2 linked regions of the Ovis aries genome follow. The protein of the gene in region 1 interacts with the protein of each later gene in a pairwise test. Links are inferred from orthologs where the notes say so. Each region holds a gene or a part of one and is shown in the gene's direction. Other genes may lie near its edges.

Evidence for each region.
Region 2: the proteins of TNS2 (region 1) and KPRP interact in binary tests that used the Homo sapiens proteins (3 or more experiments, as listed by UniProt). The two-hybrid records come from large-scale screens. The link is inferred for Ovis aries from reciprocal best matches to the Homo sapiens genes TNS2 and KPRP.

Annotation. Positions count from the first base shown.
Region 1 is NC_056056.1:133,380,721-133,384,388, reverse strand, and holds part of TNS2 (tensin-2), read left to right. Parts: coding exon 1-123; intron 124-228; coding exon 229-294; intron 295-371; coding exon 372-485; intron 486-703; coding exon 704-1,915; intron 1,916-2,018; coding exon 2,019-2,169; intron 2,170-2,293; coding exon 2,294-2,883; intron 2,884-2,998; coding exon 2,999-3,088; intron 3,089-3,380; coding exon 3,381-3,506; intron 3,507-3,668. UniProt on the Homo sapiens protein: Tyrosine-protein phosphatase which regulates cell motility, proliferation and muscle-response to insulin. Phosphatase activity is mediated by binding to phosphatidylinositol-3,4,5-triphosphate (PtdIns(3,4,5)P3) via the SH2 domain.
Region 2 is NC_056054.1:102,716,022-102,720,606, forward strand, and holds the start of KPRP (keratinocyte proline-rich protein), read left to right. Parts: upstream 1-1,571; 5' UTR 1,572-1,601; intron 1,602-2,302; 5' UTR 2,303-2,400; intron 2,401-3,389; 5' UTR 3,390-3,416; coding exon 3,417-4,585.

The DNA of each region.
Region 1 (3,668 bases):
GCTATCACAAGGGTAGCCGGGGGACTGACCGGACCCTCGTATTCCGAGTCCAGTTCCACACATGCACTATCCATGGACCACGGCTCATCTTCTCCAAGGACCAGTTGGATGAGGCCTGGGCCGGTGAGTTGGAGACAAGTGGCCTGGGGGCTGGAGCCCGGGTGAAGGCAGGCAGGTGGGTAAGGGCAGGGAGGGGGTCACCTGCTCCTCACTGTCCACTCCCCACAGACGAGAGGTTCCCCTTCCAAGCCTCGGTGGAGTTCGTCTTCTCCTCCAGCCCAGAGAAGATCAAAGGTAAGAGCCAAGCCTGGCAGGGGGCAGGGGGCAGGGGTTGTCTCCCTGCTCCTCACCCCCGGGGCGCCCTTCTATAGGTAGCACCCCACGGAATGAGCCCTCCGTCTCTGTCGACTACAACACTGCAGAGCCCGCAGTGCGCTGGGACTCCTACGAGAACTTCAACCTGCACCATGAGGACAGTGCGGATGGTGTGTGGGGTGCCCCCAGAGGGGGAGGGAGGTGGAGCTTCCTGTGGGGGGACATGCTTCCCTCCCTAGACAGACACCCTCCCAAGAGACACCCCCGAGCTGGAGTCTCCGGCACCATCCCCTGTTAACACACGCGCTTTGTCTGTTTCTCTCTCTCTCTCTCTCCCCCCGCCACTGTGGCCTGCTTGCTATACCGCCCGGATCCTCTCCCCACTCAGACTCTGTCACCCACACCCGGGGGCCCCTGGATGGCAGTCCTTATGCCCAGGTGCAGCGAGCCCCCCGCCAGACCCCACCGGCCCCATCTCCGGAGCCACCCCCACCCCCGCTGCTTTCTGTCAGCAGCGACTCTGGCCATTCCTCCACGCTGACCACGGAGCCGGCCGCCGAGTCCCCTGGCCGGCCACCTCCGACGGCTGCCGAGCGGCAGGAGCTCGAGCGCCTGCTGGGAGGCTGTGGAGTGGCCAGTGGGGGCCGGGGAGCTGGGCGCGAGACGGCCATCCTTGATGATGAAGACCAGCCCGCTGCGGGCGGAGGCCCCCACCTCGGAATATATTCAGGACACAGGCCTGGCCTCAGCCGCCACTGCTCCTGCCGCCAGGGCTACCGGGAACCCTGCGGGGTCCCCAATGGAGGCTACTACCGGCCAGAGGGGACCCTGGAGAGGCGGCGGCTGGCTTTCGGAGCCTATGAGGGGGCCCCCCAGGGCTATGCTGAGCCCTCCGTGGAGAAGAGGCGCCTCTGCCGCTCGCTGTCCGAGGGGCCGTACCCCTACCCGCCTGAGCTGGGGAAACCCACCAATGGAGACTTTGGCTACCGCCCCCCAGGCTACCGGGAGGTGGTGATCCTGGAAGACCCAGGGCTGCCTGCACTGTGCTCGTGCCCTGCCTGTGAGGAGAAGCTAGCACTGCCCACGGCAGCCCTCTATGGGCTGCGGCTGGAGAGGGAGGCTGGGGAGGGCTGGGCGAGTGAGGCTGGTAAGCCCCTCCTGCACCCGGTGCGACCCGGGCACCCGCTGCCCCTGCTGGTGCCTGCCTGCGGGCACCACCATACCCCGCTGCCTGACTACAGCTGCTTGAAGCCACCGAAGGCAGGCGAGGAAGGGCATGAGGGCTGCTCCTATGCCTTGTGCCCCGAGGGCAGGTATGGGCACCCAGGGTACCCTGCCCTGGTGACGTACGGCTATGGAGGCGCAGTTCCCAGCTGCTGCCCAGCATACGGCCGGGTGCCGCACAGCTGTGGGTCTCCAGGTGAGGGTAGAGGGTATCCCAGCCCTCGTGCCCACTCCCCCCGGGCTGGCTCCATCTCCCCTGGCAGCCCGCCCTACCCCCAGTCCAGGAAGCTGAGCTATGAGATCCCTGCAGAGGAAGGAGGGGACCGGTATCCGCTGCCTGGGCACCTGGCCCCAGCAGGACCCTTGGCATCTCCAGGTGAGGCCCTGGGAAGGGGGATGCCCAGGGCAGAAGAGGGTTCTGGGGAATGGTGGGGAAAGCACAGACTGAGGAAGAGCTACAACCCCTTCTCTCCCTGCAGAGTCGCCGGAGCCTGTGTCCTGGAGGGAGAGTCCCAGCGGGCACAGCACCCTGCCCCGGTCCCCGCGAGATGCCCAGTGCAGCACCGCTTCCGAGCTGTCTGGTCCTTCCACACCGCTGCACACCAGCAGCCCCGTCCAGGGCAAGGAGAGGTGCTTCGTGGGGCTGGGCAGCTCAGGGGCCTCCTTATCTGGGTAGACACTGAAGCCTGTGTTGGCAGGCACCTCACACAGGGCTCTGCAACCCAACTAAACTGCCCGCCCTCCCTCCCTGCAGCACCCGACGGCAGGACACCCGGTCCCCCACCTTGGCGCCCACTCAGAGACTGAGTCCCGCGGAGGCCTTGCCGCCTGTTTCCCAGGGAGGCGCTGATAAGGCTCCAGAGCTGCCTGCGGGAAGTGGGCCTGAGCCTCCAGCCCCTGGCGCCTTCTCCTCAGCCTCCCCACCCAGCTCTCCCAACGACTGGCCTCAGGAGAGGAGCCTGGGGGGCCGCTTGGACAGCACCAGTCCAAGGGGGCCTGTACCCAACACCCTGCCCGGCCTCCGTCATGCCCCTTGGCAGGGCCTGCGAGATCCCCCAGACAGCCCGGATGGGTCCCCCCTCACCCCTGTGCCTACTCAGATGCCCTGGCTTGTGGCCAGCCCAGAACCCCCTCAGAGCTCGCCCACACCTGCCTTTCCTCTGGCTGCATCTTACGACATCAACGGCCCCCCCCAACCCCCCCTTCCTGAGAAACGCCATCTGCTGGGGCCTGGGCAGCAGCCGGGACCCTGGGGCCCGGAGCAGGCATCACCACCAGCCAGAGGCGCTAGTCACCATGTCACTTTTGCACCTCTGCTCCCGGATAATGCCCCCCAACCCCCAGGTATAAAGGCCTTCAGGAGGCTGGGGCCACCTTAGGAGAACCCTGGTTTCCAGGGAGGGGCATGGCATGGGGACTGGGGAGCCCTGGGGTAAAGCTTAGTCCCTCCCTGTTCTAGAGCCCCCGATGCAAGAGAGCCAGAGCAATGTCAAGTTTGTCCAGGACACATCCAAGTTCTGGTACAAGCCACACCTGTCCCGTGACCAAGGTGAGAAGCCAGCCTGCCCCTACTCCCTCCGGGCCTCTGGCTCAGCTTCTGGTTTGTGCCACTTCATCAGTGGGCCTCCTCTGGGCCGAGCCTCTTTCTAGCAGATGATTCTGGGTTTTAGGCCCGAGGAGGTCTCACCTGCTCAGTGCCCAGTGCACTGACTCCCCAGTGGCATCCTGGGTGCTGACACCACAGCTGTCAGGGCCAGAGGTCTGGGGGGCTCGGGCAGCAGAGCGGAGGGGCTGCCTGGGGCTTGGTCTGCCCCTGTGAAAGCTTCTCCTGCCTCCCCCAGCCATCACCCTGCTGAAGGACAAAGACCCTGGGGCCTTCCTGATCAGGGACAGTCATTCATTCCAAGGAGCCTATGGGCTGGCTCTCAAGGTGGCCACGCCCCCTCCCAGCGCCCAGTCCTGGAAAGGTACAGAGTGGCCCAGCCTGAGGGGGAGGGGATGGGGTGAGGGAGGCACAGAGGCAAGACCAGGCAGGGTGGCCCGTGTCACTTCATAGTAGGGAGGAGGAGGAGATGAGCTCTCCTGCTTGGTAGAGAATTCCAGCAGAGAAGTAGAACCTGGAATCTTCT
Region 2 (4,585 bases), on another chromosome or scaffold:
GATGTTCAATCTGGATTTAGAAAAGGCAGAGGAACCAGAGATCAAATTGCCAGCATCTGCTGGATCATCAAAAAAAGCAAGAGAGTTCCAGAAAAACATTTATTTCTGCCTTACTGACTATGCCAAAGCATTATACTGTGTCAAGTTCCACCACAAACTCTGGAAAATTCTTAAAGAGATGGGAATGTCAGACCACCTGACCTGCCTCCTGAGGAATCTGTATGCAGGTCAAGAAGCACCAGCTAGAACTGGACATGGAGCAACAGACTGGTTCCAAATTGGAAGAGGAGTACGCCAGGCTGTATATTGTCACCCTGCTTATTTAACTTATGTGCAGAGTACATCATGAGAAATGCTGGGCTGGATGAAGCACAAGCTGGAATCAAGATTGCTAGGAGAAATATCAATAACCTCAGATATGCAGATGACACCACCCTTATGGAAGAAAGCAAAGAACTAAAGAGCTTCCTGATGAAAGTGAAAGAGGAGAGTGAAAAGTTGGCTTAAAGCTCAACATTCAGAAAACTAAGATCATGGCATCTGGTCCCATCACTTCATGGCAAATAAATGGGGAAATAAAGGAAACAGTGACAGGCTTTATTTCTTTTGGGCTCCAAAATCACTGCAAATGGTGACTGCAGTCATGAAATTTAAAAATGCTTGCTCCTTGGAAGAAAAGTTATGACCAACCTAGACAAAATATTACAAAGCAGAGACATTACTTTGCCAACAAAGGTCCGTCTAGTCAAAGCTCTGGTTTTTCCAGTAGTCATGTATGGATGTGAGAGTTGGACCATAAAGAAAGCCACGTGCTGAAGAATCGATGCTTTTGAACTGTGGTGTTGGAGAAGACTCTTGAGAGCCCCTTGGACTGCAAGGAGATCCAACCAGTCCATCCCAAGGAAATCAGTCCTGAATATTCACTGGAAGGACGGATGCTGAAGCTGAAACTCCAAAACTCTGGCCACCTGATACAAAGAACTGACTCATTGGAAAAGACCCTGATGCTGGGAAAGACTGAAAGCAGGAGGAGAAGCGGATGGCAGAGGATGAGACAGTTGGATGGCATCACTGACTCAATGGACATGAGTTTGATTAAGCTCTGGGAGATGGACAGGGAAGCCTGGTGTGCTGCAGTCCACAGGGTTGAAAATAGTTGGACACAATTGAATGACTGAACTGAAGTGAATTATCTGTTATTTAATTTAAAAAGGGAGTTTTCTTCCATTTTCTCTACCTGGTTAGGGAATGTAGGGGCCTGGAATCATCTTTCAAGAGAAAAGATGTCTTTGCCATGCCTCATCATCCTCTTAACCAGGTCTTCTAGCAATGGAGAAAAAACTGACAGCGTGAAGAAGGAGGAAGAAAACAAGGACCTGCTCCTTCATAGTTCAGAGGCTTTGACACTAAGGTGAGACACTCCCACATTCTACAGGTGACTGCAAGGACAAACATACAGGGAGGTGACTGGCTGCTGGAATTGGGTGATGCCTGGCAGATGCCAACCAGTTGTCTCATGGTCTAAGCCAGACTCAGAAGCCTTTATAAACAGTCTTGTCTTCAGATTCCTCAGCCTGAATGACTGCTTGCCTGTGAGGAGGGTGAGTCTAGGGGTTGGGTCTTGGGATTGGGGTCTGGACGATGCCCATGGGGTTCCCAGATTCACAAGGATGAGGCACAGTGAGGACGGACCCTGGGGCCAGAAAAAGAGAGGTACTCCTTCAGAGGAGAACAGTCTGGAGGGCTCTTAGAGGATGGAGGAAGAATATCTACGGAGTTGGGGTGAAAACCTGGGACAATGAAGTCAGTGTATTTGTCTTGGATTACCATGGACTTATCTGTAGGTACCATTTTCTTGCATCAGGACCTCTTTCTCTGGAAAGATGCATTATTAATTTAATTTACATCTTGTGAGCAGACATGTATGTAAGAGGGTTACCTTCCTCAAGGACATGTATACTTAGACAGGCTGTACAAATAGACAGTAGAAGGCTTTGCTCTTCATTATAAGTATGTCAGTATCTCAGGAGCTCACAGAGATGTGTTTGAGATGTGGACTAACTGTCAAAACAGTCTCCGTGCTGTGCTGGTCACTGGGCTGATGCCTGTGAACAGGCAGATTTGAGGAGGACAGAGGATTGGGGATGTCCCTCAGTTTCTCCCTGGCTAAGTATGCTGTTGGGAAGCATGCCTGCACCCCTACATCGTGTTTGTAACACTCTGCTATTTAGAGCTTTATGTGTGCCTGAATGTCAGTCTTGTGATTTAGGAAACTTGCACTTTCTGGGTCATCCTATTTTAGGTAACTGTGCCTTGCTTCTCAGAGGGGCTGGGGAGAAAACATTTCTGAAACTAGCAGACTGTCCCAGTTGAGGTGACTGACATCAGGAATCTGCCTAGGTAAGTTTCCAAGATGGTCCTGAGCCTTTCCAAGGTTGGTGTATTTGGTATGTGCGTGTTTTGCATATGTCCATGAGGGCTTGTAAATTCACTTAAAAAGATTGAATAGAAAGAAACAAACATTTTATGCTGGGTTTGAGCTGTCCGGTAAGTGACTGGATCCTTTAATCTACAGTGGATACTTTCTTTGAGCGCAGATGGTGCCTGAGTGCATGCGTGCATAGTCACAGAGTTGTGCCTCACTTTTTGCAACCCTATAGACTGTAGCCTGCCAGGCTTCTTTGTCCATGGGATTTTTCAGGCAAAAAGAATACTGGAGTGGGTTGCCATTTCCTCTTCCAGGGGCTCTTCCTGACACAGGGATCAAACCCGTGTCCCCTGCACTGCAGGCAGTTTCTTTACCGCTGAGCCACCTGGGAAGTCCTGAGGGCTTGCTCCCATATGTACCCTTTTGCATGTTTGCACATATGTGCAAGTTGCCAGTGTGAGTGCTTGAGGACATCCAAGCTCCTGTGGGTGTGGGGTTCCCATTTCGGGCTACAGCCTTGGGAGGAAGATTTCTCTCTACTTCATATAAAGCTCCCTCCCACCTCTTCAGTTCAGTTCAGTTCAGTCGCTCAGTCCTGTCGGACTCTTCGACTCTTCGAGACCACATGAATCGCAGCTCGCCAGGCCTCCCTGTCCCACCTCTTAGGACTTGATGAAGTGAGGGAATTCTCTTGTCATCAGCGCCCTCTTGTGCTGGACACTGGAATGCCCATTTGCAGTCCTTTGAAGCTCCCTCAGATCAGGTCTTTTGGAAGACTCAAGGCAGATTTTGTAGGCAACGGTGACTAATCTTGGGTTGAGCTCACTCTGTAAGGATTCTTGGGTACAAGCTGAAGGTATGGGAGGAAAGGCCAGGAAAGAAGCAGGGTGTCTGCCCCTTGGTCCTGCTCACCACTCCCCAGCAACTCTCATCTTCCTGATCTTGGTCTTTCTACCCTCAGGTCTATTTACCTGTCTGCATCAAAACCATGTGTGACCAGCAGCAGATTCAGTGTTACCAGCCGCACCCCCAGTATTGTGTGGCATGTTCCCCCTTCTGCATCTCCCAATCCCCTTGTGCCAACAGCCAGGTGGTGGTCCAAGCCCCCTGCGAGATGCAAATTGTGGAGTGCCCTGCACCATGCCCAGTTCAAATTCCCCAGGTAAAATGCCAGGCTCCATGTCAGTCTAAAACTACAGAGGTGAAGGGCCAAGCTCCATGCCAGTCTAAGACCACCCAGGTGAAGGGCCAACCTCCATGCAAGTCTAAGACCACCCAGGTGAAGGGCCAAGCTCCATGCCAGTCTAAGACCACCCAGGTGAAGGGTCAGGCTCCAAGCCAGCCTCAGATTACATGTGTTCAATGCCAGGCTCCATGCCAGTCTGAGGTTTCCTATGTGCAGTGTGAAGGCCCATGCCCTGTGCAGACCTGCTATGTAGAATGTGCTCCCGTTCATTATACAGAAACTTGTTATGTGGAATGCCCAGGCCAGAGCTATGTACCCTGCCTGGCACCTCAGCCTGTCCAGACTTATGTAACAGGTCCCCTGGTGTGCCAGCCTCAGGGAAGATTCTCCACCCAGTGCCAGTATCAAGGCTCCTACAGCAGCTGCGCCCCCCAGCGCCAGTCCCGGGCTTCATTTAGCACCTGTGAGCCCCAGTGCCAGACCCGGGGCTCTTATGGGAGCTTTCCTGCACAGAGTCGCTCTCGGAGCACCAGCAGGTGCCTCCCTCCTCGCCAGCTGCAGCCTTCTTACCGCAGCTGCTCCCCACCACGACGTTCCGAGCCCTACTACAGCAGTAGCTGCCTGCCGTCAAGATGTTCTCCGGGCTCCTATAACTACTGTACCCCACCCCGCCGCTCTGAGCCCATCTATAACAGTGACTGTTCTCGGCGTCCCACTTTGGGCTGCTCTCAGAGATGTGGACCCAAGTGCCGAATAGAGATTTCCTCCCCTCGCTGCCCCAGGCAGGTTCCCCCCCAGAAGTGTTCTGTTCAGATTCCTCCCATCAGACGCTGCTCTGAGAGTTGTGCCCCTCGACCCTCCTGGGGTACCTCCTGCCCGGATCTGAGACAACGTGCAGAGCCGTGTCCACTTCCAAGCTTCCGTCCTCCGCGGCGTTTGGACCAATGTCCAGATCCATCACTGCGGCAAAG